5 linked regions of the Daphnia pulex genome follow. Each later gene encodes a partner of the first gene's protein in a complex. Links are inferred from orthologs where the notes say so. Each region holds a gene or a part of one and is shown in the gene's direction. Other genes may lie near its edges. The genes, in order: vesicle transport protein SEC20-like, syntaxin-18-like, vesicle-associated membrane protein 7-like, vesicle transport through interaction with t-SNAREs homolog 1B-like and syntaxin-5-like.

The links.
Region 2: vesicle transport protein SEC20-like (region 1) and syntaxin-18-like share a complex: the UniProt entries of both Homo sapiens proteins name them as parts of the SNARE complex. The link is inferred for Daphnia pulex from reciprocal best matches to the Homo sapiens genes BNIP1 and STX18.
Region 3: vesicle transport protein SEC20-like (region 1) and vesicle-associated membrane protein 7-like share a complex: the UniProt entries of both Homo sapiens proteins name them as parts of the SNARE complex. The link is inferred for Daphnia pulex from reciprocal best matches to the Homo sapiens genes BNIP1 and VAMP7.
Region 4: vesicle transport protein SEC20-like (region 1) and vesicle transport through interaction with t-SNAREs homolog 1B-like share a complex: the UniProt entries of both Homo sapiens proteins name them as parts of the SNARE complex. The link is inferred for Daphnia pulex from reciprocal best matches to the Homo sapiens genes BNIP1 and VTI1B.
Region 5: vesicle transport protein SEC20-like (region 1) and syntaxin-5-like share a complex: the UniProt entries of both Homo sapiens proteins name them as parts of the SNARE complex. The link is inferred for Daphnia pulex from reciprocal best matches to the Homo sapiens genes BNIP1 and STX5.

The regions. Positions count from the first base shown.
Region 1 is NC_060020.1:3,407,710-3,411,797, reverse strand, and holds vesicle transport protein SEC20-like, read left to right. Parts: upstream 1-1,909; 5' UTR 1,910-2,160; coding exon 2,161-2,244; intron 2,245-2,317; coding exon 2,318-2,511; intron 2,512-2,566; coding exon 2,567-2,659; intron 2,660-2,720; coding exon 2,721-2,842; intron 2,843-2,906; coding exon 2,907-3,094; 3' UTR 3,095-3,113; downstream 3,114-4,088. Other genes in the region: GTP-binding protein 2-like, read right to left, coding at 1-26, 655-864, 1,212-1,277; 26S proteasome non-ATPase regulatory subunit 4-like, read right to left, coding at 3,298-3,524, 3,590-3,878, 3,941-4,068. UniProt on the Homo sapiens protein: As part of a SNARE complex may be involved in endoplasmic reticulum membranes fusion and be required for the maintenance of endoplasmic reticulum organization. Also plays a role in apoptosis.
Region 2 is NC_060027.1:1,471,462-1,476,758, reverse strand, and holds the start of syntaxin-18-like, read left to right. Parts: upstream 1-2,202; 5' UTR 2,203-2,235; intron 2,236-2,945; exon of another isoform or gene 2,946-3,072; intron 3,073-3,147; exon of another isoform or gene 3,148-3,202; coding exon of another isoform or gene 3,203-3,233; intron 3,234-3,294; coding exon of another isoform or gene 3,295-3,506; intron 3,507-3,619; coding exon of another isoform or gene 3,620-3,784; intron 3,785-3,944; coding exon of another isoform or gene 3,945-4,319; intron 4,320-4,431; coding exon of another isoform or gene 4,432-4,550; intron 4,551-4,645; coding exon of another isoform or gene 4,646-4,811; intron 4,812-4,902; coding exon of another isoform or gene 4,903-5,016; intron 5,017-5,096; coding exon of another isoform or gene 5,097-5,264; exon of another isoform or gene 5,265-5,297. Other genes in the region: F-box-like/WD repeat-containing protein TBL1X, read left to right, coding at 3,203-3,233, 3,295-3,506, 3,620-3,784, 3,945-4,319, 4,432-4,550, 4,646-4,811, 4,903-5,016, 5,097-5,264. UniProt on the Homo sapiens protein: Syntaxin that may be involved in targeting and fusion of Golgi-derived retrograde transport vesicles with the ER.
Region 3 is NC_060018.1:6,536,910-6,541,359, forward strand, and holds vesicle-associated membrane protein 7-like, read left to right. Parts: upstream 1-1,860; 5' UTR 1,861-1,947; intron 1,948-2,082; 5' UTR 2,083-2,152; intron 2,153-2,221; 5' UTR 2,222-2,228; coding exon 2,229-2,435; intron 2,436-2,500; coding exon 2,501-2,638; intron 2,639-2,700; coding exon 2,701-2,791; intron 2,792-2,878; coding exon 2,879-2,946; intron 2,947-3,016; coding exon 3,017-3,109; intron 3,110-3,258; coding exon 3,259-3,330; 3' UTR 3,331-3,476; downstream 3,477-4,450. Other genes in the region: uncharacterized protein LOC124188813, read left to right, coding at 738-780, 845-937, 1,003-1,469; ribosomal RNA-processing protein 8-like, read right to left, coding at 3,477-3,684, 3,748-3,824, 3,886-4,045, 4,112-4,450. UniProt on the Homo sapiens protein: Involved in the targeting and/or fusion of transport vesicles to their target membrane during transport of proteins from the early endosome to the lysosome. Required for heterotypic fusion of late endosomes with lysosomes and homotypic lysosomal fusion.
Region 4 is NC_060018.1:4,117,026-4,121,115, forward strand, and holds vesicle transport through interaction with t-SNAREs homolog 1B-like, read left to right. Parts: upstream 1-2,269; 5' UTR 2,270-2,383; coding exon 2,384-2,607; intron 2,608-2,694; coding exon 2,695-3,157; 3' UTR 3,158-3,267; downstream 3,268-4,090. Other genes in the region: uncharacterized protein LOC124189006, read left to right, coding at 1-165, 333-457, 620-990, 1,158-1,317, 1,606-2,106; homer protein homolog 2-like, read left to right, coding at 3,479-3,483. UniProt on the Homo sapiens protein: V-SNARE that mediates vesicle transport pathways through interactions with t-SNAREs on the target membrane. These interactions are proposed to mediate aspects of the specificity of vesicle trafficking and to promote fusion of the lipid bilayers.
Region 5 is NC_060017.1:4,340,847-4,345,640, forward strand, and holds syntaxin-5-like, read left to right. Parts: upstream 1-1,959; 5' UTR 1,960-2,113; coding exon 2,114-2,556; intron 2,557-2,622; coding exon 2,623-2,678; intron 2,679-2,747; coding exon 2,748-2,989; intron 2,990-3,076; coding exon 3,077-3,447; intron 3,448-3,515; coding exon 3,516-3,675; 3' UTR 3,676-3,913; downstream 3,914-4,794. Other genes in the region: proteoglycan 4-like, read left to right, coding at 512-526, 817-1,194. UniProt on the Homo sapiens protein: Mediates endoplasmic reticulum to Golgi transport.

The DNA.
Region 1 (4,088 bases):
TGACCCTCACGTAGACGCCATTTCATCTGCGCAGCCACCGAAAGGAAGAATTCTTTAGTTATGCAAATCAAAATCAATCCATCATTCATCATAAAGCGTGCATCAAAATCGTAAAGAACATCGGAATATTGATTAATGCCCTTGGTATGATAATGAATCACTTTTGGCTACCGTCCCTGTGGGCTATTTATTACTTAAGGTCTAGACCAAAAGCACCCTAAAAAGAATATATACTTTCAAAGTACAATGCTGCGAAATTCCTGGAATCTGTAACTTGAATTTGAAAGCACTAGATGTCGTTTTCAAACTTTCCACGTGTAATCTAAATAAAAAATGACGTCATGCAAAATAATCACAAACGTCATCAAAACGTGTTTCAAATGACCGGGTCCCAAAAGTGCATTGAACCATATTTCTCTAAACTGCTTACCTTACCATATACAGCCTTAATGACTGGGTTTTGACTAAAAGATTAATGATACAATTATGCAGTAAGATTTAATCTCTTGTTTTGCTTATTACTACAAGCGGGAAGAGTTATGGCGGGTTTTTCTCCGCATGAATTTTTAATTACAACTGAAAACATTCTTTAACTAATTGCTTATTTAAAAAATGGATGAGTGCACATCCGTGATATACTAGCGTTAGTAATACCTGCGTGACAAGATGCTGGATCCGTTGCTCCGAAGGGTTCACTAATTTAAGTTTATATTCAATATTGCCGGATTGCGGTTCTGGTGGTAGATTCTTCTTTTGGTTGCTGTTACTGGCCAGAGGATCACCTATTTCGAGCTGAGAAATCCATTCGTCATCGTCTGAATCCGATCCATTGTCGTACAACCCCAAAAATGCATCCATAGGGTCCTTTTTTTAAAAAGAGATCATCACAATAAAGTCGTAAATAAATAGAAAAAGAAAGTGCATCTTATTTATTGGGCACTCTACAGTCTTGTTATCTGGGTCAGAAAAAATAGTAAAATTCAGTGTTTACTTTCACTGCACTCTTATAAAAATTTTAGGGAAACCTGCCCCACTGTTGGTCGTTTAGAACACGGTAAACAAAAGAATTGGGGTTTGAAGAAGAAAAAAAGAAATCTGAACAAGTCTGAACACGACTATAGAACATAACGGATATCATGCTGACGTCATGTGACAACAAAGGACTGTGTATAGCGGTTTCCCTTTCACAAAATGTGATGAAATATACTTACGGGGCTCCCGATGGATTTTGTTTTATGGCGTTTGTTTTGACGCTGCTGTTGAATGACTATGGCCATCTTCAAAATATAGACTAGTTAAAGCCCAAGGAGACCTAAAATTTAGCGACCACCAGTACGAGCGAAGGGAGCTAAAATGTGTTTGTTGTTGTGGTTTACTCGAGAATAACAAAGCTACGACACTAAAATTAAAACTGCCGAATGGGCTTTGCCAAATGCGACACAGTTTTGTGCGCAATATTTATACTTTTTGTTGATTTCCAAAGGTACTATTTATACTACGGTATTTGTAAGCTACTTTTCACTTGGCATCAAAGATGGGTCGACAAGGGATCGACTTGAACACAACACAAACTGGGCGCGAAATGAACTGTAGTAACTAGGCTGTCCGAGGTATCATTTCATCTAGATTGAGTAGATCACCACAGATTAAACAAGCTACACATCACAATGCACGTCCAAACTGTAACTGCTCTTCTCTATAGGCCAATTCCACAATTTTTTAAAAAGAACTCTGCCAGTAGAACAAACCGAAACCTCTATTCTTTCACTTCTTTCTATTCTATTCCACTTTCGTCAGCATTACAAGTACACTTCCCAGCGGTCCAAAAAGGAAGCGTTTGTTTTGCTTATCACTATACTATGCGCCATTAAAAGAACCGATTTACCTTGAATGACCTCCAGCAGCCAGCACTCTGTCTCCAAGTTTTCTAAACAGCTTAGAAATTATGACGAAACTTTCTTATTACATTAGAAACAAAGATTCTAATCGTTTTAATTATTTTTACGCAATAAAAAAGTACTTCTTTTGGAATGATGCAATTTTTTCTTTCTTGGGCAACGTGGCACACATCACAACAAACCATCTGCTGTGAATCTGTCAGTGTAGCGAATAGCGATAAATAGGCAGTTTCGTGCATTTTACCCCAAATATTAAAATACAATGAAAAATTCTGAAGGTAGTGAAATAGAATCTTTGAAAAATGACATTCTTAAAGGAAATTTGACCATACAAACCATTCTGCATGTATGTAATGCAAATATTAAATTATATTAATGTAATCGGATTGCTATTAATCATCCACACTTTTTCTGTAAAGCAAATACAAAAGACAGATATTACAGAAGCTGATATTGTGGTGTTGAACTCAGAATATCGGTCAGAATTTAGAAAACTTAAAAATTGTATCGATGAGTTTGAAAAAATTTCCAAAGATGAAGATGAGGATGGAGAACTATCTGAAGATGTCAATCTCTTCAAAAATCAATTGAAAAGTCTCCAAAGTGCATTTCGGTAATAGTTTGTAAGTTTTCATGTTTTAATGCATTATTTTCTTTCATCTTTCCAGGAAAGCTAATGTACAGTGCCAACTAACTGTCAGTTTAAAAAACAAAGCTGAACTCTTTTACAGTAATCCTGAAGATATGGAAGTAAGATCCAGGTAACTTTATGAATTTGATTTCTGTCTTGTTGGCTTATTTGAATTTATGTTAAATTTGTAGACAAACTAAATCAAAAGAGGAACTTATCAAAATGTCAACCAATGTGACTGCCAATTTGAGAAGTATAAGTCAATCCATGGCTAGTGTTCTGGAGCAAAATAGAGGAACTCTAGAAGTACTTGGTATGAACAATTAATCCATTTTTTTTTAAATTTAATCAATACTATAAATTAATATATTGTGTAGCTCAATCATCACATGCTGTGAGTGACAATCAGGATGAGTTTAAAGTTATGGGAAGCGCCTTAACAACCACAAAAAAGTTGGTCTCCCGGTTTGGACGGAGAGAGACGACCGATTTGATTTTAATTATTCTAGCTTTGGCTGCATTCTTTGCAGCTTGTGTATATGTCATTCAAAAGCGCATGTTCTAGAGATAAATTTGTACATCAAGATTTTTTGAGTTTCTTTATTCAGTTCAGAAAAATACGAAAACATCCTAGAATAATCAATTACGCAGTTATGTGCCAACCGAACAAAACACCTTCCGCATTACATTAAATGCAGACGTAATGAACAGATGAAAATCAATTTATTCCGGATTCAAACATTCGCGACGCGTAAGAAATCAATCTGTTTACTTGGAGTCAGGCTTTTTGCCTTGCTTTTTGTCTTTATCTTGGTTTCGCAAAGCGTCGACGGCAGATTGTACAGCATCACTTGAAGGATCAACACCTGGAAGCGTTTCTAGGACACTCTGAAGAAATTCGGGATCTTTCATAACTTCATCATAATCATCACTAGCCGCAGCTGCTGGCGTTGGTTCTACTTCCATAGCTTCGGTTTCCGTTTTTACTGGTCCCTCTGAATTTTATATTAAATTATTAGTCTACAAACCGCAACAACATATCACCTTACAAAGAACTTACGAGCTTCTGCCATGGACATTTGCATTGCATATGCAATTTGTTCCTCTTCAGTCATTGTTGCGAAATCGGGATAAACGGGTGCTGCAGGGGCGGCACTGGCTACAGTTGTATTGACACTTGGTTGATCCATAGACATAGCCAACGCACGCTCGAGCATAGCATCTTCGTTGGAAGCAGGGGCACCGCCAATAGTGGTAGCTGCAGCGGGCTCTGTAGCCGGCGGATTTCCCGAACGACGAGCTTCGTCCTCTTGACGCTGACGCTGCTCCTCCATCGACACTCGTAACGCCTTTAATAAGAAAATAATTTTAAAATGAAATAATAAACTATTTAAATAGTGATAACACTTACGAGAGCTAATTCAGGATCTTCATTAGGATCGACAAATTCAAAACCTCCAGCCCCCATTCCAACCGCTCCTGTACCATCTTCTCCTTGAATGACTGGTGAGGAAATCAGCGCATCGGCAAGATGGGGCCCTTTAAACAAAAAATTGATA
Region 2 (5,297 bases), on another chromosome or scaffold:
TATTTGGAGAAGCGGAAAGATTCTTCAATGGTTCTCTCTAAAAAAAAACTCAACTGATTTCATCTTGCCAACAAATTGCAAAAAAAAGCAGTAATATTGTGAACGAATAAAAGAAAGAACTCCTCAAAAAGAAGTTTATCGGGAAAACTAAAATAGTTCTGAAAAAACCTGACAAAAAGGACTTCAACGGAAGAGTCAAAATGAAATTCCGTAAATAACTTTATCGTGTTCAGCCGGCCCAATAGCCAAAAGAACAAGGAAAAGAGATTTCAAACAAAGATAGGAAAAGCTTTTCCTGTTTTAAAATGCCTGTCATTAAGAAACGCAATTACTTCAAAAACAGTATTCGAAAACTTTTCGAATACTCTTTCTTTTCAACGAAAAGATTCTCTATAGTTGCAACACAACAAGAAAATAGATGTTTAAATGTGGGTGAGGGTGACTTACATTAAAAGCGAATCCGGTTAAGTATTGGGGTCTAGAAGGTAATCCATCCATCCAACGACTGGAGTGACGAATGCCAAGAATTTCGTCATTCCGGTGATGACGCCTGGATGAAGTTCTGTCAAAATAAAATAATAGTTTAATAAGCATGTTTCAAAACTTCCTTGAGAGATTAACATAATAAACCGAATACCCATTTAAGTCTGGGTTGAATTGGATTCGCTCATTTGTAGCTATGATTAGGAAACGGCTGATATTAAACGAAATAGAACTAAACGATACGTCAACTAGCAAACTATTCAAGAAACGTTTGGTGAGTGCCCGACTCTCACTCGTAAGACCCATACAGTTTGTCAGAAGGAGATTTTGGATATAATGTATCGAGTATTGTCTGGAACGAAGAATTAAAACTGTTGGTCACCAGTTCAGACGATATTTGGATCAAGGTGTGTCCCAGAATTTAAATGGTTATTTAGAATTGAATGTTTAACTCCTTCACTTTCAAATAATTGAACGCAGAATTGGTAATTGGAAAGAGAGGATCCCAATATCCCATACGCATGATAGAATCCAGTTCTTCTTGTTGCGAATAAATTTGGAGTCCAATTCCCATCCAGCGTAATCGTGCAAAGAGCGAAGGAAAAACCTTTTTTAGTCGGGTCAGATTTCATTCATCTAATATCCCAGTGTCCCAAATCGATTATTTAATTAAGCGTAAGAGCTCAATCGCCTTTTTCTGATCTTTTTTCAGAGGGTTAGATAACGGATCAATTTTTGTTTGGTCGCCAACGGAAAAGGAAATACAACCAAGTTTGTTTTTCGATTGACATTCCCACGATTTGCATAAAATCTTATTTTCGCCAAACAGACGCTTTCTGGCATCGACCGGCTATGAAGGAAAATTGGTTATCTGGTCCACCAAGGTAAATTTGAAGGTAAAACGAGTGAAAGACTGGATGTCTTAAATTTCTCGCAAGGTGTTTAGAACTGGGAACAGATCATGACACCTTTTACCACCATCAGGGTTTCACCACCGGTGCCCAAGCCCAAAACTCTCAAACTAAACCTGCTCAAATAAAACAAACAACAAAAGTAATATCCACCAACAACGTAAAAATAATAAAATAAACTTTCACGAGGAAGCAATGTAGACTCACCATGAAAAGAAACCTCATGGGATGCATATTCTGATGTCTGTCGAAAAAAGATATAAACTGACTGGCACTGCATGGTGCAAAACCCTCCTACAATCCTTTCGTGCCATAGTTGATATTGTCATTTAGTGAAACAGTTCACAAATAGTTACCTTTCATCAAGTACCCAACACGTTACAATTCTAGAATAAGTCAGGCGCCATATTTTTCGTACAAATACTGCAGACAAAGGGATGTTTACCTCATCAGCATGTGTGTCACTTCCAGCCTGGTGCAGATTCAATTCACCACCGAAAATGTTGGTCACAGATTTTGCAAAGGAATCACAATGAACAGTACAATCTTTAAAGTAATATCACGCTGCTCAACACAAATGAAGACGATGGATGCACACTTTCGAACATTGTTCACTGTTCAGTGAACTTGTGAAGTAATGGCAGTAATGGTGTGCTCTCGAAGACGAATAGCTCGTCGTTCATGGGAATGGCGCCAAAGAAAAAAATACATTGCAACGAACTTGGCAAACGACTGGTAGATGGCGGACTAAGTTCCACAACAAACTGACGACGAGGACGTTTGAAAAATAGAACGGCTGTTGAGTGTTGGCAGATTTTTGCTCAAAAATCATTGTCAAACGGTAAGTTAAACAAATAAATTATAAAGAATATACATTACTTATTCAAATCAAAATATTTGTTGTTGGAAACACCGATCATGATGGATATCACGTCCCTGTTCAAGGTCTCCATCAAGACGGTCCGGACACGCAATAAAGCTAGCTGAAAACTGAAGACCCAAATTGCATTTTCCCACGACCATCCAAACATTTTTCAAAATTCCAAACGAAAGCCAAAGAGATTGTCTCAAATGTGGCCAAGTTGAAAGAGTTTTAGACAGCTAGAATTGAAAAGCAATCACGCTCGTGATGTGAGTGAACGGATTAGATAAACAAAATACCGTGATATCGGCAAAAGAGATGCCTATCAATGGACTCTGAGAAAGTTGTTATAATGTATCATTGGTTGTTGAAAGATAATTGAAATCAATTAAGTTGTCGGGAAAATGAAAAGACACGAGTTTTTCAAGTTTACTTTCTTTTGGGGTTATTTCAGTGGGTAAAAAAAATATAGTGGGTGTGGAGAGGAAAGTCGTATGGTGTGAGGTAAGGGGAGTGAGAAAAGATTTTTGTCAAAGGATTAGTCAAAATGCAGTTGCGTATCGAAAATTACAGCTATTTTAGCAACCTCGAGACAAGTTTGAAAAACAAAAAAGATTCCAGACAGAAAAAGTCAAGGTAAATTTTCCTACGACCCCGTTCAAATCCACCCCCTTCTTACCCCCTTGAACGTTTCTCTTTTGTTTTTCAGTTTTACTTTTCCAGTTCCATCTTCTTTAATTGCCACTTCAGTTTCAACATTCTTCGAGGCATCGTGCTGCCAGTCTCTTTAAATATTACTCATCTATCTGCGCATCGGTGAAATTTTTAAGATTCTAAACTCTATGGATATTCCAGCTTTAACGCTGTAAAATAATGTTTCGTTCATTTTAGTTCGCTACTTCTAAACGTGGTTTTACACTTCCGTTCGTCACTAAGGAGAGAGAAAATGACAGATGCTGTAAACTCACCAGGGAAAGGTAAGACAAATATTTATAAACTTGTCCATCGTTTTTAATCAATGTCTGATGTCCCATCCAGGTTTTTTCAAACCAGTTGAGTTCTCAATTACGAGTAAACTAGATGTGAGAAGTTCCAGTTTCCACCCCATCGATCCTGTTCTGGCGTGCGGCTTAGTTCAAGGAGGATTAGTTTTCCTTCGGGGAACTAATCACTCCACACCGTTTGAGAATTGGGAGATTGAACCCGTATACAGCCGATACGAAAGGACAATTTTATCCGTCCAATGGAACGTAAGTCTGTGAATCAAATAATTGTGTCCGTGTTTCACCCCATCAAAATCGTGTGCTAAATGTTACAGTGTTAATCCTAAGTTTCTATTTTTGTTTTTCTGTTTGGCGTAAAGGTCAATGGAACTAAAGTAGCTGCTGGCTCCGATAATGGGACTGTCATTATTGTGTCTTATCCAGGCTGTGGCAAACAAACATTCCGAAGAAATGGACGATCGAATTTCCCGTTAATTTTTTGGCATCCATTTAACCGGGACATGTTGGCTAGTTATAACAGTGCGGTAAGTGAAAAAAAAAAAACAATATTCATGTGCTAACTTAGTAGTTTGTTTAAGTAATGCGGGAAGGGAGAATTTCAAATTAAAAGTCGGTGTACACGAGAAACATTCACATTAATTTATTGTTCACCAGAAATTTTAAGTTTTAAAATTGTATCTCAAGTTGGACACAAACGAGGTGATGATTGCCAATTCAGCAGCTGAAAACCTCCTCACCCACACCATCAAATCAAAATGGAACTGTCAGACCCTGGCCTGGAACTCGCACAATCAACTCGCCTTTGGTTACGACGATGGAACGTTTGAAATTCACGAAATAGAATTGAATAACAGTCAAATGAAAAGCCGAATGGTCCAGAAAATCCGTCACGATCTGGGTGATCATGACAAAGCTGTTCACCATTTTTCGCTTATGAATTCCAGGGACAATTTTTCGCTTATGAACTACCAGGGCCAAACACGAACTTTCGTATCGAGTATCGCCATTAACAAAGAATTTGAACTTTTGGCTTCAGGTGGAACAGACTTTCGAGTCAAGGTATTAGAACTACATACGTTATATTTATTGGATTTTAATAGTCGATAGACAATTATTATTGTCTAAGTTTTTAAATTTAAATGAGTCAATATTTAAACAATTTTAATTGCAGATTTGGTCATTGGGCAGTAAAGATCCTATTCTTGTGTTGGATGTCGATTCCAATTGCAGAAATTTGGTATGGAATTCTGGCATCAAAGAAGAGATGACGACAAAAACTTTTATTGCATGGTTAGACTGCCTAGATTATTTTAATCAAGTTTTAAAAGATGCAAGTTTAAATTGACATTCTAATAACCACAGCTTTTTAATTGGCTTTTATTCAGCGGATTAGAAAGTGGAAACGTTGTAATTTGGTATCCATTTGATCATGAAATTCAGACACGAAAACTTACAGGACATGATCAGATCCATCAATTAATACTTTCACCTGACGGACGCTATCTCGCAACAACAGACTATTACAAGAAAGTGATTATTTGGTCTACAAAGGTAAAATATTTTTGATAGAAATTCTTAGTTGGATCAAACGCGACTCACGTACATTCTTTTCCCGCAATTTCTTTTTTAAATGAATTTTCAGAGTTGGAAGAGCATATACATTATACCCTCATCAGAGTATATGTATCCATACATGATGACATGGGACGCGGCCAGTTGCAAGCTAGCAATTTCAGAGAGAACAGGACAGAGACAGGTAAAATAATGCGTTTCATTCATCCAAATTTCAACAAATTAATGTTAATAAATAACTTCTCATCTCTGTGATTCAAACAGTTTAAAGTGATTGAATACTTCGTTGCCGAAAACTGCTGTGCTGGCTGCAAGAAAATGTCTCAAAATCTAAAGCGTTGCGCTCGCTGCAATTCAATCTTCTATTGTAGCAAGGATTGTCAGCGTTCACACTGGCCCCAACACAAACTTGTTTGCAATCAAAATGAATAAGTTTTGATCGAATTTTCCAAGGCAAAAGATTGA
Region 3 (4,450 bases), on another chromosome or scaffold:
AGAGTAGACTAGAGTAGAGAAAACTTTAGAGGAGAGGCGCTGTTTGAAAGTTGCTATGGTTTGGCCGCTGGGGTGCCGACTGCCGAGCTCTTTGGGTTTTCTGTAGTGACTCTAGTCAGAGCAATAGATACCTGGTCGGTTCTCGGCCGTGTTGGCTTCCCTATCCCGGTTTTAGGGTAAACGTATCCCCGATTTTCAGACATTTTAGGGCGGAGCTTGTCAGAAGTTGTGAAGTGGTAAAAATGAAACAGCGCCATCTAGTGATAAGACGTTGACTTTCAAATAATACTTTCGGCGGCCATTTTTGTGTAATATGTGAATACGGCGGCCATTATCGTGTATTACGTGAATGAAGCCTAACCATAATTTCTGTAAAAATGGTTGGCAGGTGTGCTGTTCCTGGTTGTAAATCAACATATTTCAAAGGAAATCAAAAAGAAAACGAGGTTACCCTGTTTGCAATTCCTAAAACTTCATTATCTAAATGGCGAGAACTAATTCCATGTAGTTATTTGACGAGCACCTCACGTATTTGCTCCCGTCATTTTGACGAAAGTGACTTCAAATCAGGGATTTAAATTTTGAACGTGTTCCATCCTTTCAAACGTAGGAATCGTAATGCTGGAGCAATTCCCAAACATTTTCTGATAAATGGTATTGATATTACATTTCCTGTATAATCTGTAAAGCACAGAAACTGAACCATTTTCATTTTAGATACACCTAGTCGACAAGCAATGCAAAATGTTGATGGTTTCAAATGGAGAAATAACCTTAATGGTATTTTTAAATATGTTTATTTTGTTTAATATCAAATAACGCAATTCTTAAATATGTATTGTAGTGGAAACAAATGCTAGCAATGCATCAGTAAGGAAACGACCAAAAGTAGACAAAATACCTACTACGTCTAAGAGAAAAAAATTTGACAGTACAGGTATTGATAATAGTTCTCGTTACATTTTATTTATAAGAGCAATTGCTTTAAATTTTATCTGATAGCACCCTCCATGGAAATTATTAAAGAATCAATCAACATTCCCCAGGCTGCTGAAGAAGCAATTTTTGATCCACTTCCAGATTCAATCAAGGAAAATCTTGCTGTTGTCATGGAAGATACGACAGTTGCATCACCTTCTATGGAAGCTACCTCTACTATTCAAGAATCAATGGACACTCACCAGGCTGCTGAAGAAGCAATTTTTGATCCACTTCCTGATGTAATGAACGAAAATGTTGCTGTTGTCATTGATGATTCGACAGTTACATCACCTTCTATGGAAGCAAGCTCTACTAATTTCAAGTCTAATTTTGTGACATTTCAGTCACTAGTAACTTCATCAATGGTACCAAAGAATTGGACATGGTATTTTGATCAAATTAAACAAACGATTTTTTGCATTTCGATGGATCGACTACCAAATGAAAATTATAATGTGAAAAGTGTACATTTTCAAAACAAGAAGTAGTGTATTATGTCAACGGAACAATAAACAATTTACACAACCAAACAATAAAATGTAAGAATGTTTGGACACTTACAAAGAATAAACAATTTACACAACCAAACAATAAAATGTAAGAATGTTGGGACACTTAGAAAAGACCTAGAGGTTTGACAGTTGGATACTTCTACCTTTTTATTTTGTTCACTTCTTGTAGAAAAGTAAGCTGTGATTGGTCAATGAGTTTTTCATAGACCCTTCCTGATTGGCTGGCTTCACGTAGTACCTGACACACTCACTAGAGGCGCTCATCAATTTTTCCAAATCGGACCACGTTTACCCTGAAACCGGGATAGGGAAGCCAACACGGCCGAGAACCGACCAGGTATCTATTGCTCTGCTCTAGTGAGTGAGCAAACCATAGACTCTATAACGTGGTTCCGACAATAGTCAACATTGAGTCATTGACTGGAGTGGATTGTCATTTGATAATTTAAGATAGGTTGTTTAATCCTTAATACTTACAAAAATTAATTATATTCGTCCTACAACTATCCAAAACTATAGCAACGTCTTTTGAGTGTCATAATATCTGCTCCTTCATAAGTTCTGTAATCCATCGTGAGTTTCTCTGCAGTTTTTTATACACGTTCGTCAAGTTATTGATGGGATTGAAGATCGTCTGAATCGTCGAGAAAGTTTTGTTGGTATGAGATTAGTTGACCCATAAAAAATATTTAGTCTTTATTACATAATCTCATATGTTAATTTTTTAGAAGGAAAATGCCGCTGTTATATAGTGTTGTTAGTAGAGGAAACACTGTTTTGGCTAGATTTGCCAATAATTGTACTGGAAACTTTTCTGAGATCACAGAGCAAGTTCTAGCTCAAATTGGACTTGATGATTCAAAAATGACCTACTCTCATGGATCATTTTTGTTCCACTATATTTTGCAAGACAGAATAATTTATCTTTGCATCTCAGATGATGTAAATCTTTTTTTTATTGTCTGCAATTGTAGAAGATGATATATAAATAGAAACCTTTATTTTAGGAATTTGAACGTTCAAGAGCATTTTTATTTTTGAATGAAGTTAAAAAGAAATTTGTAAATACTTTTGGAGCCCATGCATACTCTGCTCTACCATATGCTATGAACACGGAGTTTTCGAAAATTTTGGCAGGGCTAATGGTAAGTCGTGAAATTCTTCTCAATTATTTCAGACATTACTGAGATTTTTTTTTTAAAACCAGAAACACTTTTCTGAATCTCGAGATATCGATACCGTTTCTCAAGTTCAAGGAGAATTGGACGACTTGAAAGATGTAATGGTGAAAAATATAGGTAAAGTGTAAATACGAGCCAGCAAGAATTTGCAACCTCCAGCAGTAGTAACATAATACCATTTAATTTAATTTTGCTCATTATTAGATTCCTTAGCGGCACGTGGCGAAAGATTAGAATTACTGGTTAATAAAACCGAAAGCCTCAGCGCGTCAGTATGTATATTTTAGATATTTTTAAATTTTACTTTGGTTTACCAAGTAAGTTATTTTAAATTGTTTTTAGGCTGTTACTTTCCGGAAATCAAGTCGAAATTTGGCTAATTCCTTGTTCTGGAAAAACATAAAAATAACAGCAATTACTGCTGCCGTGATTTTGGTATGTTATAATTGTTTTACAGTTTAAATAACTATCTTTATTTCATTCGTAATTTTTTTTTTTTTACCATTTATCGACCTGAACTACATTCTAAAATTCGGAATAATATTTTAAATGAAATCTAATTGAAAATATCTATTTTTCCGTAGGTTATTGTGTATTTTGTCGTTAGCATAGCATGTGGAGGATTGAATTGGCATTCATGCATTCAAAATAGTTGATGCACAAATTCTGCGCGTGATCTAATTTTTCTTTCAGTTTTTAAAACAAACATTCTATTTCAACCAAATACGTTTCTGTACATTCGTAACATATAATGAGTCGGTTTCTTTGTTATGATGTTCAACATTTATGTGTACTTTTCTATTCATCGTTTTTTGTACAGACAAGGTTTCAAATATATTCTTGGCATAGTTGCTTTGGGACTCATGTTTTGAATCTTGCTAAACTTTGCGAGAAAAAAGTATTTTTGAACGTTATTTTCTTTGAGTTGGAATCCAAAACGTTCAATTGTTTTCAAGAAATCATTAATATTGCTACATCTGCTTTCAACTTCAGCTACACACAAAGTACCACTGTAATTTAAAAATTACATCAATAAAGATTATTATTTTTTAAAATCTGTATGTAGCATTTACCCAATTTTAAGGACTCTATTAGCTTCCTTTAAAAAGTCATGTATGTTGGAACCCATGAGAGATAAGCAGAAGACCACCTGAACAAGCAATATCTGTTGTTTGATCAAAATTTATAATGCATAAATAATGCTGAAATACCACATCAACAGCTTTGGTTGCCAAAGGAACAGAAGCCATGTCACAAGCAGTAACTTTGTCATTTGCTGCTACAAGGTCAAAAGAGTGAACTTTATTAGGAATGGTGTTTGCTATCTGAGCTTCACCACAACCAAAATCAGCTATCACCCAGTTTCTAGGACTAAAAAAAAAATTTTCATTTGTTAAATTAAAGCAATTTTTTAGCACATGGCTTGTTTTATTTTACCCTTTCATAAGATCAGTGATGATGATATCCAATGGGTTGACTGGCCATTTCAAAACCTGGTTCTTAAACCCCTTGTGGTATATATCAAATGATTGGGGGTCTTCTTGGAAAAGTTCCCATGCTTCACTACTACTTTTGGTATACAGCTCTTCATTCAGATACCTGAAATTAAATGTTATGATAGGCTGGAATATTGTCAACAACAACAAAAAATACCTGAACCGTGCAGATTCCAATCTTTGTCTTGCATCACTAGCAATCGATGCTCTCTCTTTAGTTTTTCTTTGAGGAGCTGAAAGTGGTGTTCTTTGGTGAGCAGAATTAGAATTTACCTTCTGT
Region 4 (4,090 bases), on another chromosome or scaffold:
GCTCCGGTCAGGGTGCCTATGGTAACATGTGTCGTGGTGGACGTATGTTTGCCCCCACCAAGATCTGGCGCCGTTGGCATCGCAAGATCAACGTTAACCAGAAACGTTTTGCATTGTGCTCGGCCGTCGCTGCTTCGGGTATTCCGTCTTTGGTGATGTCCAAAGGTAAATATGAGCCAAGATCATCATTGCACGGTTCCATACTAGCATGATGAATATGTGTTTCCTGTGTTTCTGACAAGCATGAAGTCATACCATGAGTCCCTGATCCATACAATGATAGTAGTAAATAAGGTCATATTGAATTAGAACTAAAATGTTTTTACATTCAGGTCACTTGATCAATGATGTCCCGGAGATGCCTTTGGTTGTGTCGGACAAGGTTCAAGAATACAAAAAAACCAAACAGGCCGTCGTGTTGTTGCGCCGTCTTCGCGCATGGACTGATGTCCAGAAGGTTTGTTTCTAGATATTTATGTATAATTATCACGGGAAAATGATGAGTTGCTTCTTGGTCTGTGTTTATGAGTAAATGATTTCACCTTAGAGCTCTGAACAAAATCTGAGTCATGAATGATTTTATGTGTGAACACCGTCTAATTAATCTGATTTCTTACAGGTTTACAAGACCAGGCGTTTCCGCGCAGGTAAGGGTAAGATGCGCAACCGTCGCCGTACCAGCAAATTGGGTCCACTGGTCATCTATGGCAGAGATCAGGGTTTGACCAAGGCTTTCCGTAACATCCCCGGAGTTTCTATGATTTCAGTAAACAAACTGAACCTCATGAAGCTTGCTCCTGGTGGTCATGTTGGCCGTTTCTGCATCTGGACCGAGTCTGCTTTCCAACGCTTGAACGCCCTCTACGGTACTTGGCGTCAGAAGTCTAAGCTGAAGAGCAACTACAACTTGCCTCAGCCCATCATGACCGGAACAGATTTGTCTCGTTTGTTGAAGTCTGATGAAATCCAGAAGGTTATCAGACGACCAAGGCAAGCTTTCTTTTTAATCTTTATTATTGATTAATTAATGATGAAAACCACATTTAGAGCATTGGGTTATGAATCTTTGTGATTAGCAAATTAATCTGAACGCAGTTTATCATTCAAGTGATACTGTCTGGTGCAAAGATGACTAATCGATACAATTTAAATTACAGGAAGATGATCCGTCGTGCATCTGTTAAGCGCAATCCTCTTACCAACATGAGAGCATTGATGAAGTTGAACCCGTACTCCGCCGTGATTAAGAAGTCTGCCGCTGCTGTTGCTGAGGCCCGGAAGAAGAGCAAGACTGCTTTGCTCGAGAAGAAGCGCGAGGTAATTTTGTTTTCTGTGAATGTTTGTATGTCTTAGATAGTTTTTCGTTTGATTTCTGTTTGAATTGTTAAAATTGTATTACCGCATGTGAACGTAACTTAATGCATGCCACATTGTTTAACATGTACAGGCGAGTGCTACCAAGAAGGTAGCTGCCTAGCCTGCGAGTGAGCGCACACAGCATGGTTTATTGAGCTAATCAACAGATGTTTTTGGTGAGTTGTCCATCGTAGTGAGAATCTGATTTGGAAAATAGTCCAAGTTCTAATTTGTATATCCATTCTACAGTCAGTAGTACCCGTACCAAATTTACCTGTTGAAAAGCCGAAAGAAGAAGCGCCCGTTCAAGCACCGGTCCAAGATGTCAAACCAACTCAACCTCCTCCTGTTGAAACCCCTAAGCCAACACCACCAGAAACAAAGAAAAGCAAGAAATCCAAGACGGCTGCAAAGGATTTGCAAGTAGAACCGATGGATGTAACACCCGCGTCCGTTGTTGAGGTGAAGACTGCCCTAGCTCCAGCTAAGGAACCATCTCCGCCAATCGTTACCATCCCTGAACCTGTAGTTAAGGTGGTAACACCAGTCGCTACTCCTGTAAAAGGAAAATCGCCACCAGTCGTTCCTGCCCCAACACCGATTGCTGTCCCGGAAGTGAAGCCGTTGGAAAAGGTTCTTGCTGCTCCCGTTGAAGCTATCCCATTAGAAGAAGCTTCTGTTCCCGAATCAGCTGCTGATAAGGGATCGAAAGCCAAGAAAGCAAAGGGGAAGAAAAATAAGAAGGAATGAGTGACATCATTGAACCTGTGCCTGTATGACGTTTTTTCTGTGACATCTGAATAAACCTTCTGCAGGCTGAAATGTGTTTAATTTATCTTAATAATTAGCTATTAAATGTAAATGTCATGGAAATGCTAATTCTCGCCGTTTGTGGCGCTGTCTTCAATGTTTTGTCAGATGGTGTTTTATACGTCAAGTCTACAATACATTCCTTGTCTTCGTCCTGATAGCAAGGTATCGTATGTAGTGCTCAAATAGGTTCAGAATTGTGCTACAAGAAACAGAAATGAGCTCAGAGAAATTTGAAACTCTGGATGAAGATGTACAAGTTTTGTTCGAAATTCTGCAAAGAAAGTGTTCCGGTAAGCTAGAACAATGTTTTGGCGAAGAAAAAAAGCAAGTTATTGCCGATGTCGAAAGAGGACTAGATGAAGCTAAACAAGCAATATTTGAAATGGAAGCTGAAGCTAGAGCAGCTCCTGGCTCTTTTAGGATGGACATGATTGGCAGGTAAAAATGTGAATGTCTTAAGTTTACACAGCAAACAATACATGTAGTAAAATTTCAACTAATGTTTTTTTTATCATCCAACTTCAGAGTACGAAGACATCAGGACACCTGTTCCAAACTTGCTCTATTGATCAATTCTTCCAAGCAATCAGAAATGTCTCTGGCCTCATCAAGAGGAAAACTGTTGGAAAACCAATCCACTGCTGCATTTAGCCAAAACCGGGGCATTGATAATGCTCTTCAAACAACTGTTCGCCAAGGAACTGCAGTTCTGGAAAGAACATCACAGAGCCTCTACAGAACTACTCAGGTTGCTTTAGAAAGTGAAGAGATTGGCACTGGAGTTATTCAAGAATTAAGTCAACAAAGAGAAGTGCTTGTTCGTACAAGAGATAGATTGACTGAAACGGATGCAGAGCTGGGAAGAAGTAGAAGAATCCTTAAGTCAATGTCTCGTGTTGCTATGACTAATAAGCTTGTCCTAATTGTCATCATTCTGTTGGAGATATGCATTTTGACAGGTTTAGTTTATTATAAATTTTTTTCTTGAAATTATTGTCCTCAAATTCTTAACATACCTCATCAAAAATGTAACTAATAGTGTTAGTGCCTTGAATTTGTGTAAAAGCCGATACAAAAATATAATCATGCGCATAGCGACCAGTATTTTTTTCCCCTTGCGTGCGCAAAGGATTTCCTAGCGGCCTTCGTACGCAGACGGAGTTACGAACCCAACCTCTGGCTTTCAGTTCCATTTGACAGAAGCTCTTCCTGTGTCATGGCGTGCTATACGTGTATTTAAAGTTTTTGCGTTTGCCAACGAAATCTGAGATTTTTCTAAGTTGTTCGTGCTTCGACATCGACAGTTAAAATGGGGTAAGTTGTGCATTTATTGATTCTGTATAGTCTTAAATGAAAAATCGATTCGTACCATATATCCACGTAGCAACAGCTGGATGCTGAGCACCACTGTCAAGTCTGAATTCAAATTTACTGTAATTAAAAGGGTATATGTTTCAAATATTTGTATTTTGGACTATGGAATTAGACAAATAAGAATTTTCCATTAGGGTGTATAAATACCATTAAGCTAAAGTGTAAATCAATATTGAAGTCACAGACTCACTGAAGTGTCCCGTCATTCAAATGTTAAAAAAGATTTTATTAATATCTTGGCTGTAAATATAGCATTCATATTTTCAAACTAATAAGCTAAGCTGCATCCAAGTTTTCAACCTGTACTAAATTCTAAAGTTGTATTGAGCTAAACTTCGAAGCTGAATGACTTGTGCCTCTAGCTACAGCCCAGAAGGATTGTTGCGAAATGTTATTCTCAACTCAAGCAATAGATTGTTGCTTTAGGTGATACATCAAAGTAATATTTCATCCAGCCAGAAAACTCTTGATATTGCTAGGATGCTAGGCCCACTGTTAGTGGGATTTTAGTCACACAATATTGATTTACTTTGAAACATGCAAGCCC
Region 5 (4,794 bases), on another chromosome or scaffold:
TATAAAAAGTTAAAAACTGACTGAAGATTGCTTGAAACTGATTTGAAAATGCTAATTTTCTTTGAGAAAAAAACTGGAATTTGAACATTCATGTTTTTTTTATTTGCTTTTTTTTTTTTTTGCTTTTGCATTTTTGATTCTTCATTGTCTTGTTACCAAATGTTGACAGCCGCGGAGTTGTTAAACCGGAAAAGCTTGTCCGCTAGAAAACGAATGAATAGTCACGCAGCATTGCAGTACAAGAACAATTCTTATGGCAAAGATAGATGATCCTCCTACGTGGTTCGGACCACCGAAGGAAATATCCTTTCTGAACAAGAAGGACTGAAACTATCCGCCAATACAACATAAAAATGTTAGAAGTGAAGAAGGAAGTGCAAAAAAAAAAAAAAAAATGGGCATCCGCGGCTATATTAATGCGTGACTCGGTAATTCCTGATCAAGTAACCAGTAATCTTCGTTCGAGAAAACAACTCCTTTTCATCGGCAGCTAGAAGAAAAATTCAACACAATGAAGTACTTATTGGTATGATCACTGTTACATTTACTTTGTATCTGTTACACCTGTATTATATTTAGACATAGGCCGTAGAATCAATTTAAATGGAATTCATTTGGGATGTAGTGCAGCGATTTATTGAAATAGTATTTCATGTATTCTATTTCCTGAATGATTTTTAAAAATTCGTATTTAAAGCCTTGCCTCTAAGCTACCAAGCGGCCAAAAGCACGGCGAAAGTGATTTTACCAATAACAAATTATGACTGTGTATACTCTTTGATAAATATTTAATGAAAATGCGTTTGATTTCAATAGGTGAAGATTTTTATTGTGGTAGCCATCATTTCGCTGGCTAATTCCCAGCAGAGTGCTTCAAAAACAACGCCCAAAACTGTTAAACAGGTATCGACGACGGCTAAGCCCATGGCTGGTGCTGCTACGACTGTTAAGCGTTCATCGACAACGGTTAAGCGCGCAGGAACAACAGCTAAACCGAGAACAACTACTGTCAAGCGGGCAGGAACAACAGCTAAACCGAGAACCACTACTGTTAGGCGTGGACCTGCACCCACAACTGCCAAGCGCGCATCTACAACACCTAGACCTAGGACCACTACTGTCAAGCGCGCACCTACAACTGCTAAGCGCGCGTCCACTACGGTTAAGCGCACAGCCACGACCAAGAAAGTTTAAATGATTCAATTCCGGCCATCATTTTCTTTGTTGTTTCTTCAATCTTTACATATCTATAGGCCCACAGTTAAACATTCCATCGTTGTTTCGAATATGAGCAGGCCGTCTCTTTCTGAGTAATACGACTCAATTTGCTATTCTTATTTAATTGGCAGTGATATTTAGTAAATATAATATGCAGAAATCGTTTGTTATCAATATTATTTCATTTACGATTTTATTTCCGTACAACCAAATACTATTTGCTTGTGTTTTATAGGGATTTGAAGATTTACGTAAGCTTTGGCAATCAAGCGTAAATCTTGAGACGGTTGTTAAAAATTTTTGGAAAGGAAATAAAATAAAATTAACAGAAATGCTTTACAAATTTATATGTAAAAAAAAATGTTTGGGAACTTCTGTGTTCAACAGTAGAATTACACATGAGTACACTTTTCTAAGTGTGCATTATAATATTGTTTTGGTCTTCCCTCGCTAGCAATGAAAACGGCTTTTCCTAAATAAAAAAAAATAAATTGAGATGAAAACATAATTTTGATTGGTATGACGCGGGAACGATGGAGAACCTAGTACGTAAGTCATACTTCTCTTAGGAGGAATTTGCGACATTTAAAGCAAACCAACATTGTAGAAAGATAAAGTCTATACATAGTAATTAATAATAGTAATTGATAAAGCTGGATAAAGGTTAAAATAAAATGATAAATATTGAACTTTATACAGTAGATAATTAACGTTGGCAACGTTGGGAATTACGGCTAATGTTTGGTATTTTTTCGTCTGCACACACTCTGCAGACAACCCTTAATATGACGTGGCATTCGGTATAGTTTCTTGTCGCAAAATATCTGGCGTTCCCGATTATTTGGATTTCAAAGACGAAAACGGATGAATTTTTCGAGAGATAAATTTTTGACGGATGATTACTCGAAGACGCCGGCAAGGCTCTGAATCGGAGCATCAGCCGCTTGCTGAAACCCAACTGCAAAACCAAGTCCTGAAAGGCTCTTCATCCGTTTTACTGTGGTCGGGAGAAAGTCCTCAACAGCAGCCATCCTTTTTCATTGTTCCGCAGGGTGAAATAGGTGCATTTGTTGCACCAAATTATTCAACAGATAAATTTGTAGATGTTCAAGCAAAAACCAACAGCGCTGACATGATGGCCCTAGCATCTAATTCGAGTTCATCAGTTCTGTCTTCCACCAATGCTTCTTCACGTGATCGGACTGCAGAGTTTCTCTCTGCAGTCAGAAGCTTCCAGAGTAGGCCAGTTAACGGAGTAGTTGGGAGGCCGAGTCAATCACATCCATCTAAGAATACAGATCAACATCAACAGTACTCTGAATTCATGAAAGTGGCAAAGTAAGTTGTCGACTTTTAAGAAAATATTTGCAACTATTGAAAATATTCAAATTTTTTTCTGTACAGAGTTATTAGTAAGGATTTGAGCAACACATATGCAAAACTGGAAAAACTAACTCTATGTAATTAGCTTTGTTTTTAATTTCTACTGTTCAACCAATCATTTCATGGTTTCACATTTATGCTTGCAGTGGCGAAAAAACGAACGCTATTTGATGATCGTCCTCAAGAGATCCAAGAACTGACTTACATCATCCGTGAAGATATCACAAATCTGAACAAACAGATTGCTCATCTGCAAGGATTCATGAAAAAGCAACAGAATCAACAACAAAATACCAAGGCCCATTCAGCAAATGTCGTTGTAGCTCTTCAGTCGAAGCTAGCCAATATGTCTTCTGAATTCAAACAAGTCCTTGAAGTCCGCACTGAGGTACACGCCTTTCCTAGTTTAAAAAATAACTACTAGATTTTATTATCTAGGATATTCAGTAAAATGAATGTTTTGAAAATATTTTAGAATCTTAAAGCCCAGAGAAGCCGTCGAGAACAGTTTTCTGGCTCCGTCCCAGTCGTTTCTGATTTACCGGCTGCAGCCTTGACAGGAGGACCGTTTGGATCCTCTCAAAATGGTTCTAAAGGATCTGTTCTACTCCGTGATGCTGCCTATCAAGCCCATGGAGGAGAAGCAGTAGCTATCGACATGGGTGCCGCTGACAACAGAACCAACAGGAATCAAATTCAGCAGCAAGTGTTTGCCGACGAAACAGAATCTTACCTGCAAAGTCGTTCTGACGCAGTCCAAAGTATAGAATCCACTATCGTGGAGTTGGGCGGAATTTTCCAGCAACTGGCTCTCATGGTTCGCGAACAAGAAGAAATGGTTCAGCGGTAATAATATTAATTATTTTAGAATATGTTATAACAAAGAATTTATGGAAATATTTTTCTTCGTGTAGGATTGACTCGAATGTCGACGATGCCCAACTTAATGTGGAAGCCGCTCATGACGAACTCTTGCGTTACTTTCGTTCCGTCTCTTCTAATAGGTGGCTGATGCTAAAAGTCTTTGGGGTTGTCCTTGTGTTTGTTGTAATATTCGCCATCTTTTTTGCTTGAAAATTATCTAAAGTACGATTTCCAATTCATTTACCAATACAATTTTCGATCCTAATGAATTTAAAACTCACGGTTCGTTTCTCCATTGTGCTTGATTAACGAATGTAGATGTGCCCTCTGACGAAAATGTTGCCCAGCAGACTTCTGGTGATTTTCATGATGAAGTTATAAACTGTGATGTATTAAGAATAAAATTCAATAGTAAAATATCAGAAGAATAAATAAATTCTAATCTATATTTGACATCTTCAATATTATAGCTAGCCAGCTAGTATTTTTTTAAATTGCATTCCAATTCCATTCATTTCCGTCAGCTGTATTTTGAAAGGTTGTTTAGAATCACCCTCTGATCTAAAAAAATACCGCAACAATTTTCCCAAAGTTTAGTACTAGCCCGCAGTTCTGAATCTTCGAGTGTGTGCTCTCTTACTCCGAAGAGGGGCGTCCCTAAACTGCGAAAGCGAAACGCGAAACGCGAAACGCCTAAAATGCGAAACAGCTGTGCGAAACGGACCCAAAAGTTGAGACCCTGTTTCGCATTTTAGTCTTTGGGTCCGTACTAAACTGCGAAATCGGTGTGTGCGAAACGTCGCAGTGTAAACGTCTTGGTAGCAGACGACAATGGACGCCGTCAACAAACAAATTGTTAAGAGTTTCAAATTTTCGAGTTTCGCGCACCTTATGGCTGGTCTATTTGTGTGTTGACCATGAATACGAAATACCTTGAATGCAATATGTAATAGGTGTTTTAATTAGAAGATTGGTATAAAAAAATTAATGGAACTTCTCGTTTCCATACTGTATCAGTATCAATCAGATTAACATTCTTAATTTTAAGGAAAGTTTTAGCTGATTAAATTTTAGCTTGATTTGGAACATGGTAGCTTTGACTTTTAGCTTGATATAAGGCACTCATACTGTTATGGCCGATTCTTTCTTTGTGCACGTACCTACTGGTTGATTTAAATTATTTAATGTAATCCGATGTAATCCCTGGGCCATTACCTAATATTTTATTATTTAAAAATATCACCATAACGTGCTGCTCTATGTCTTTCATTAGTTTAATAATCGTAAAATGCGCATCAAAACATACAGGGGTAGTGGCGAAGAAATCGA